Macaca fascicularis: one gene and its partner. The protein of the gene in region 1 interacts with the protein of each later gene in a biochemical or structural test. Links are inferred from orthologs where the notes say so. Each region holds a gene or a part of one and is shown on either strand. Other genes may lie near its edges. The genes, in order: TMED10 and COPG1.

Evidence for each region.
Region 2: the proteins of TMED10 (region 1) and COPG1 form a complex in vitro, tested with the Homo sapiens proteins (2 studies listed by BioGRID). The link is inferred for Macaca fascicularis from reciprocal best matches to the Homo sapiens genes TMED10 and COPG1.

What each region holds. Positions count from the first base shown.
Region 1 is NC_088381.1:143,084,424-143,088,240, forward strand, and holds part of TMED10 (transmembrane emp24 domain-containing protein 10), read right to left. Parts: intron 1,359-3,817; coding exon 1,232-1,358; intron 487-1,231; coding exon 365-486; 3' UTR 1-364. UniProt on the Homo sapiens protein: Cargo receptor involved in protein vesicular trafficking and quality control in the endoplasmic reticulum (ER) and Golgi.
Region 2 is NC_088376.1:154,147,096-154,151,499, forward strand, and holds the end of COPG1 (coatomer subunit gamma-1), read right to left. Parts: intron 3,659-4,404; coding exon 3,520-3,658; intron 3,303-3,519; coding exon 3,204-3,302; intron 1,215-3,203; coding exon 1,084-1,214; 3' UTR 728-1,083; downstream 1-727. UniProt on the Homo sapiens protein: The coatomer is a cytosolic protein complex that binds to dilysine motifs and reversibly associates with Golgi non-clathrin-coated vesicles, which further mediate biosynthetic protein transport from the ER, via the Golgi up to the trans Golgi network.

The DNA of each region.
Region 1 (3,817 bases):
AGCCCAAGCTGCTGAGCAAGTGGGAGAAAAGAAAACATACTCCAAACAGATCACACAAGGGAACCCAGGACAAATGCTGACTTTGGCATTATCTAGGTAACCCCTATTTTTTTGTCATAGGTGACTCTAATAATAGACCTATTGTTGCAAAACCAGTCAAAATCCTACCAAATTAAAAAGTCCCTCATTGATTTGTTGGGTGTAGGTGGTACCCCACGTCCTCCCACACCAAAAGAGATCAGTTCTGGCAAGAAAGCTCCAACATGCCTTGATGGTGCTGTTGGTAGGATGCCTTAGGCCAGGCACGTCCCAGCGATGTTCTGCTGGCTGAGGTACAAGGTGGGAGGAGAATATGCCTCATTCATTACTCAATCAACTTCTTGGCCTTGAAGAAGCGTCGTAGGTAGAAGACCTGCCAGGTGGCTAGTCCAATGAGGCAGAACATTGAAAAGATGCTGAAGTATAGGACCCGAGTGTTTGTTGACTCTAAAAAAAACAAAAACATTGTAAACATAATGAGTGAGCCTCCTCAGCTGGCTAAACAATGGCAGGGGAGCAATGTAAAGGCAATTAATTAACTTCACTCTGTCCCTAGGTCTAATAGTAGGATTTCAGATAATTTTTTTTTTTAAGTTCATTATCCTGGCTGGGCGTGGTGGCTCATGCCTGTAATCCCAGCACTTTGGGAGGCTGAAGCAGGTGGATCATGAAGTCAGGGGATCGAGACCATCCTGGCTAACTCTGTCTCTACTAAAAATATGAAAAATTAGCCGGGCGTGGTGGCACGCGCCTATAGTCCCAGCTACTTGGGAGGCTGAGGCAGGAGAATCGCTTGAACCCAGGAGGCGGAGGTTGCGGTGAGCCAAGATCACACCACCGTACTCCAGCCCGAGCCACAGAGTGAGACTCCGTCTCAAAAAAAAAAAAAAAAAAAAAAAAGTTCATTATCCTATATATAAATGTTGAAAATAACAAAGCTTGCTGCTATCAATTTGATATGGGTATAGACTAATTGAGGATGCTGTCAACTGCCTATCACAGTAGCAATTTCTACTCTCTTGAAAATCTAACAAGGCTCATTTACCTTTAGCAACAACAGCAGCGAAGTAAGCAATTTCCCTTCCATATACCCGCCTTGGCAAAACTGAGAAAAGGATACACCAGAATTGAAAGTTTGGAGACTGTCTCATTTATGGGTCACTTAAGAAGTAAGAGTCGCCTTCCCCCTCACCGTTGGTATCACGCATCTCCTCTTCTCTCTTCTTCATGTAGGCAAAATCATTAACAATAGATTCTGAAAGGTCTTCTAGGCGTCGCAGCTCTACCTCTAACGGTTTGAGCTTCTCAACTTTTGCAATCTGGAAAAGAATGGAATATTTTCAGCTCTCTGAAAACATCGCTTCAGTCAAGAACATAAAGAAGGCAACAGAAGAGTCTTTTTTAAAGTTTCACCAGATTTAAATTCTCTCCTATCAATCATCCTAACATATTTTAAAATTTGGGCTTGTTTCTTTCCCTATAGACTGTATCTTTCCATTTCAGACCTTTTTTTATACTTTAATTTTGACTAAAATCTCTTTACAAGTAATATAATAACCGCAGGCTATAAAGCAAGATATACTATTGTCTCAAGATTTTTACTTTTTTTTTTGAGACAGAGTCTTACTCTGTTGCCCAGACTGCAGTGCAGTGGCATAGTCTTGGCTCACTGCAGGCTCGACCTCCTGGGCTCAAGCAATCCTCTTGCCTCAGCATCCCGAGTAGCTGGGACCACAGTCATGCAGCGCCACACCCAGCTAATTTTTGCACTTTTTGTAGAGATGGGGTTTTGCCATGTTGCCCAGGCTGGTCTCCAACTCCTAAGCTCAAGCAATCTGTCTGCCTCAGCCTCCCAAAGTGTTGGGACTACAAGTGTGAACCACCATGCCCAGCTGATTTTTGACTTTAGTAAAGCACTTTACTTTGCCCTTCCACTCATGTCTAAGAAGTAAACAACATTATTAATATAATAAATGTGAGTCATATTAGGTCAAACCTGGTTTTAGAAGAAAAACCACTAAATTCATTAAACCTTTGACAGTACATATGAATGTGAGCATGTGTTATTAGAGCATTAAAGTAATACTTCAAAATACACAATTAGAGAATTCTGGTTTGTTCATATAAATCCTACAACAACTTTTAAGGTTTAGTATCAGAGCTCAGATGTGAGAAAACTGCACTGAATTTTTTATGCATTTTTTTTTCTTTTAGAATGACACAGTTATCAAAAGAAATCTCCAAGGAATTCCCTGTATGCTGAGGAATGAAGGATGTCAGAAAGAAATTAACTGTCTTCTGTTCTCAAGTTAGATCCCTAAGAAAACTCTTAAGAGTATCCAATAACTAGAGGCATCTATCACACCAAAGATTGCACTATTCTATGTTTTTTTTCTTATCAATCTTAGATTATGCTTTGCTTTAAAATGGGATACACCACCAGAGCTTTCCTGATTTTTTTTTTTTTTTTTTTTTTTTTTTTGAGATAGAGTCTCGCTCTGTTGCCAGGCTAGAGTGCAATGGCACGATTTTGGCTCACTGCAACCTCCGCCTCCCAGGTTCAAGTGATTCTCCTGCCTCAGCCTCCTAAGTAGCTGGGACTACAGGTATGCGCCACCACACGCAGCTAATTTTTTGTATTTTTAGTAGAGGTGGGGTTTCACCATGTTGGCCAGGATGGTCTTAATCTCTTGACCTCGTGATCCACCTGCCTCGGCCTCCCAAAGTGCTGAGATTACAGGCGTGAGCCGTCACGCCTGGCCAGCTTTCTAGATCTTAAAACTTCTACATACCAGTTGCTCTTAAAGTTTCCACGTAGAGAATTCTTTAATAACTATCTTTCTTTCTTTTTATTAATTTAATTAATTTATTTATTTATGGAGTCTCACTCTGTTGCCCAGGCTGGAGTACAGTGGTGTGATCTTGGCTCACTGCAACCTCTGCCTCACAGGTTCAAAAAAATTCTCCCACCTCAGCCTCCTGAGTAGCTGGGATTACAGGTGTGCGCTACCACACCTGGCTAATTTTTATATGTTCAGCAGAGATGAGATTTCACCACGTTGGCCAGGCTGGTCTCGAACTCCTGACCTCAAGTGATCCACCCGCCTTGATCTCCCAAAGTACTGGGATTACAGGTGTGAGCCACCACATCTGGTTACACCTAATAATTCTGTTTCTATATCTGCTTCTTTACTCCCTATTTATTTACATTCCCTATGGCCCACTTTTTTTCCTCTCCTTTGTTCAATTCATTGTCCTTGTTCTTTCTCTTTGTGAAATGTTAACAGCAGTTAACAAGGGATGAATAGGAGGAATTTATTTTACATTTTCTTATTACATTTTTCACTAAATGTGTGATGAACAAAAGTTATTTAAAATAAAACAAACTGCTGTTAAGATTGGGATGTAAAAATTGAGTTTATATTTAAGGTTCATAAAAATATGGTGATAGACGCGATGATACACCTACGTTTTCTCTCACCAGATGCACATTTTCTTGCATTTATAAAATGTTGGCTAGAGTTAACGGTGTGACTGGTAACTGCAGAACAGCTTCTGGGTGTAAGATTTAACCAACAGTTAATGCACAGAGCTAACTTTCTTAAGTGAATGGCCAAATGCCAGGTTTTGTCATTAACCCAGAATGTATATCTATTCATTGATCTCATATAGAGCTGCAGAACAAAAAAACATTCCCCAAGAAAAATAAGAGGAGCTATACAAGCTGAACCTTAGTCTAACATCTTCCCTCCTGCTCTATACTTCCCCACTCTGAGCT
Region 2 (4,404 bases), on another chromosome or scaffold:
GGGTCATCGAAGGCGGGAAACCAGGAAACTCCACTCCTTACTTCACAGTCGTGCCAGCCGCCTCACAGTGCGAGGCAAAAATGGAGGAACACTGAATAAATGGAAGTCTGGAGAACTTTCAGGAATCGCGCACTTAGCCCTCAAACGATGGTGTACACTAGAATGAGCCTTTTCTGTCCCCGCACCCCAGCCCGCCAGCTGAATCTCTAAGGGTGAGGCCCAAATTTTTAAAACAGTCCTTACGGGTGTACTTTGTTCTCAAAGTTGGTAAAATAACCTGGCTTGAGTTTAAAAGCCTGCTCCCCTTGGGACCTAAACCGGAGATTTCTTTATCTGCAACCAACAGAGAATACTCTAGAGGGCTGTTCTTCGCCTATGCTGATTCGCTGAACAGGTAGCAGAAACCCCAGGGCACACTCCACATAGGACCTGATGCTGGAACGGCCACAGGACCCAAGCCCTTTGGAGCCTCCGTTTATCGACTACCAGAGGAGGATGCGTTGCGAAGAAGCACGAGTGGGAGGGAGTGGGAACTCAGTGCCTGTTAGCTGATTCACTCAACTAACCTGTACCGCTCCCACCCCTGGGCTTGGTGCTGGGACAGCGATGACGGGGAGAGGGTCCTGCCTCACAGGATTAAAACAGCCAAAGGGCTGTGGGTACAAGGGGGACAGGGCACGTGTTCTGCCTCTTGGGGGAGGCCTTGAAGGGGAAGGTGTAGCAATCATTCAATAAATACATGCTGATTTATTAGAGGGATAAGATGGTTTCTTGGGGGATAAATTCAAGAGGAGTCGAGAATGTTTTATTCATTTACAATGTCCCTTTCCTGGAAGGAAGGATAGCAAGATTTAGGACAAGCTAAAATCATTCCCTATTAAAAAAAAAAAAAAAAAAAAAAGGCACCCCCAAGTAGTCCCGGGTGGGGGGTAAGGGCAGAATAAAAAAAAAAATCTGCAATGATTCCTAATTGTTTTTGAATACAGAAGCTTGGGAAGGGGTTTCCGCCAGTTTCATGAGGAAGGCACAACTTCCAGGTAGTGTTGGGGGGGAAGGGCATAAGGTCCTATGCAGGCTGGCTGCTTATCCCACAGATGCCAAGATGATGTCTACTGGCAGCTCCTCCAAACTTCTGGCTGTCACCTGCATTGTCACTGTGTCCAAAAGCAGCAGCCGGGAACGCACCAGGATGTCATGACCACCCCGGAACACACCTAGAAGGGAAGACAGAAGTACAGGTATATACAGCAGAAGGGATTGTACAGGGCAGGCTAAGGATGGCATTTGCAGCAGCCCATCAAGACAGCTGTGGTATAGTGAAATGGGCAGGAGAGCTGGGCTGAAATCCCTGAGTGAGGGATTTCACTGTGAAAGTCACTGACTCTCGGCTGGGCACGGTGGCTCACACTTGTAATTCCAGCACTTTGGGGGGCCGAGGTGGGTGGATCATGAGGTCAGGAGTTTGAGACCAGCCTGGCCAACACAGTGAAACCCCATCTCTACTAAAAATACAAAAATTAGCTGGGCATGGTGGTGGGCGCCTGAAATCCCAGCTACTCGGGAGGCTGAGGCAGGAGAATCACTTGAACCCGGGAGGCGGAGGTTGCAGTGAGCAGAGATTGTGCCACTGCACTCCAACCTGGGTGACACAGCTAGACTCCGTCTCAAAAAAAAAAAAAAAAGTCACTGTCTCTCTGGGCTTCAGTATCCTCAACTACAAAATGGCGGGGATGATAATACCATATTCAGGCTTCTGCTAAGTTCAAATGAATTGATGGACATAAAAGGCTCGTATCTGACGTCACATAGGCTCTTGCATGTTGGCTGAATCTGACAGCACAAATGAAGGGGACAGCCCCACCACGAGAAAACCACAGGGCAGGTGTCTGCAAGACCCAGGGGACTGGGTTGTTTCAATGTGGCTACAAACTGTCAGCTGTAGACAGGGTACTGAAGCAGAGCCTCCTTTCAACCCTGTTTATAAACACTTAGCCAAAAAAAAATCATCCCATTTCCTTTTGTTAACTGTTTTAGGTATGATAATTGTATTGTCCTTTAAAAAAGGGCAGGGGTCATTATCTCTTAGAGAAACATAAAGATACAGAAGAATTTACATATAAAATGCTATTTCTGGAGTTTGCTAGTAAGTAATCTGGGAAGGAGAATGAGTGCAGGTACACTCAGCCAACCCTGTAGAAAATAAGACAAAGGATATGAAGACAGTGATCAGAAAAGGAAATACAAATGCCTCAACATTTGAGAAGATACTTAACTTCAATGAAAATACAAAAACTACACTAAGATATCATTGTCCACACAGACTGGCAAAGATCATAAAGTGTGGTAACATATTGTGTTGTCCACAGTGTAGGAAAAAAGGTATACAATTCTATGAAAGGCAACTTGGAGTTATTTATCAAGATGAGAAACACAAATCACTTTGACCTGGTGATGCCTTGGAAAATTTATCCTACAGATATTCTCAGTGTACACATGCAAAGTAAATTGTGTGTGTGTGTACACGATTATTTACTGTAACATCTGTAATAGCAACAGATTGAAATCAAACTAAATGTTCATCAGTAGCGGCTGTTCCACAGAATATGTGGTGCATCCACACAATGGAATACTAAGCAGCTATAAAAAAAAAAAAAAAAAAAAAAAAAAGGATTCAGTTTGGGATGAAAAAAGTTCTGGAGATGGATAGTGGTCATAGTTTTACAATAGTGTGAATGTACTTAATGCCGCTGAACCACACACTTGAAAATGGCTGAAATGGTGAATTTTATGTATATTTTACCACAATTAAAAGAAAAAGAATGAGGAAGCTCTACATATTGGCAGGAAAGATCTCTTAAGATGCATCGTAAAGTGAAAAGCAAATTGCAGGACAATATACCATTTGTACATAAACATTTGAGTTAAAAAAAGGAAATGTGTTCCTTTATAGCAATAAAATAACTGCAAGGTTATACAGGCATTGTTTGTAATAGTAACACTGGTCGTTTCTTGGAAGGGAATCTCAATGGCTGGCAGCCAAGGTAAGGTGGAAACATTTCGCTGCAGATTATTTTATAGTTTGCGAATTTTAAATGCTGTGAATTTTGACTCCCCGTATTTACAGTTAAGTCCTTAGCCCAGGATCCAGTGGACATCCAGGCTGTAAGCTATCCAGGCCCTCCCCACCTGGAAATGCCACTTACCAGCCAGAAGCAACGTGTGGGTATTCTTGTTATCCGGCACTTTGTCTGACCTCTCACAAGGGTGCATTCCCAAGAACTTCACAATATTACCCACAGCCTCTATAGTGAGAAATCCCAATATTGTTAAGCCATCTTGTCTGCCCTTTGTGCCACCACCACTCCCCCATGTTCTGAAGGGCTTTTAATGAAATGGCATTTGACATATGTGCCCCAGACATGGCCCTGGATCCTTGGAGAGAAAAGGTATAAGCACTTCAACAGTACCCAAAGATCTTGAACGGCAAGTAGGCCAGAGGTGGCATTCCCAGGATTTTACCTTCAAGTGTCTTGATGGTAGACAAGGTGAATGTTTCCTCCTTCTCAAATTCATCCCCTACCTCATCCCAGGCTGCTTCGAAGTTCAGTTTCATGACCTTTTGAATGTGATCAGCTACAGTAACTTCCAAATCTTCCAGCTGGAGAGATGGAGATAGAAATCAAGCACCCATCCACACACTCTGCTCTGAACTCATCCACACATCCCTTCCTGCCAACTCTTTCTGCAGGTGCTTGCTCGGCACTGAGGACTGTGCTAGACTCTGGGGACACAGAACAACTTGACCAGGTACCTATCCTTGAGGTGCCCACAGGCAAGTGGTATCCCTTCAACAGAAAATGCCCTAATCCCAAGTACCAATCTACTAACTCATCCTAGAGCTGCCTGCTGTGAGATCACATCTCTTTTAAGCCTGCCTAGTGTCAGTGCTTCCAGGATCTGGCATACAGGGAATTACATAGCATTCTCAGAGGTCTGCTTCCTATGCCTGTCATTTCTAGGGGATGATGAGCTCTTCAGGAGCAGCAGCTGTTTCTAGTTCAGCAGAAACCTCCTACCCCAGCTGTGTCCTCTGGATTTGACAGATCCTGAATCTCTGTCTCCATTTCAGCTGTGTCTTCTCTGAACTTGACACATAATACTCCCACTGAGTCCACATGAAGGTTCCCCATTCGTTCTCCCATCAGATTTTCACTGAGGCCCTACTCCTGTGGATGTTTACAGTGTATATAAATACAACTTCGACCCAGCTCTTTTTTTTTTTTTTTTCTATCATCTCTGGGTGGGCTCAAACAGACCCAGCTCTCTCAAGGAGCTCACTTGGTCTTAAAGCAGCTCCTGCCTCAGGGTCATTTCCAGCTTAAGGAAGGTCCATCCATCCTCAAC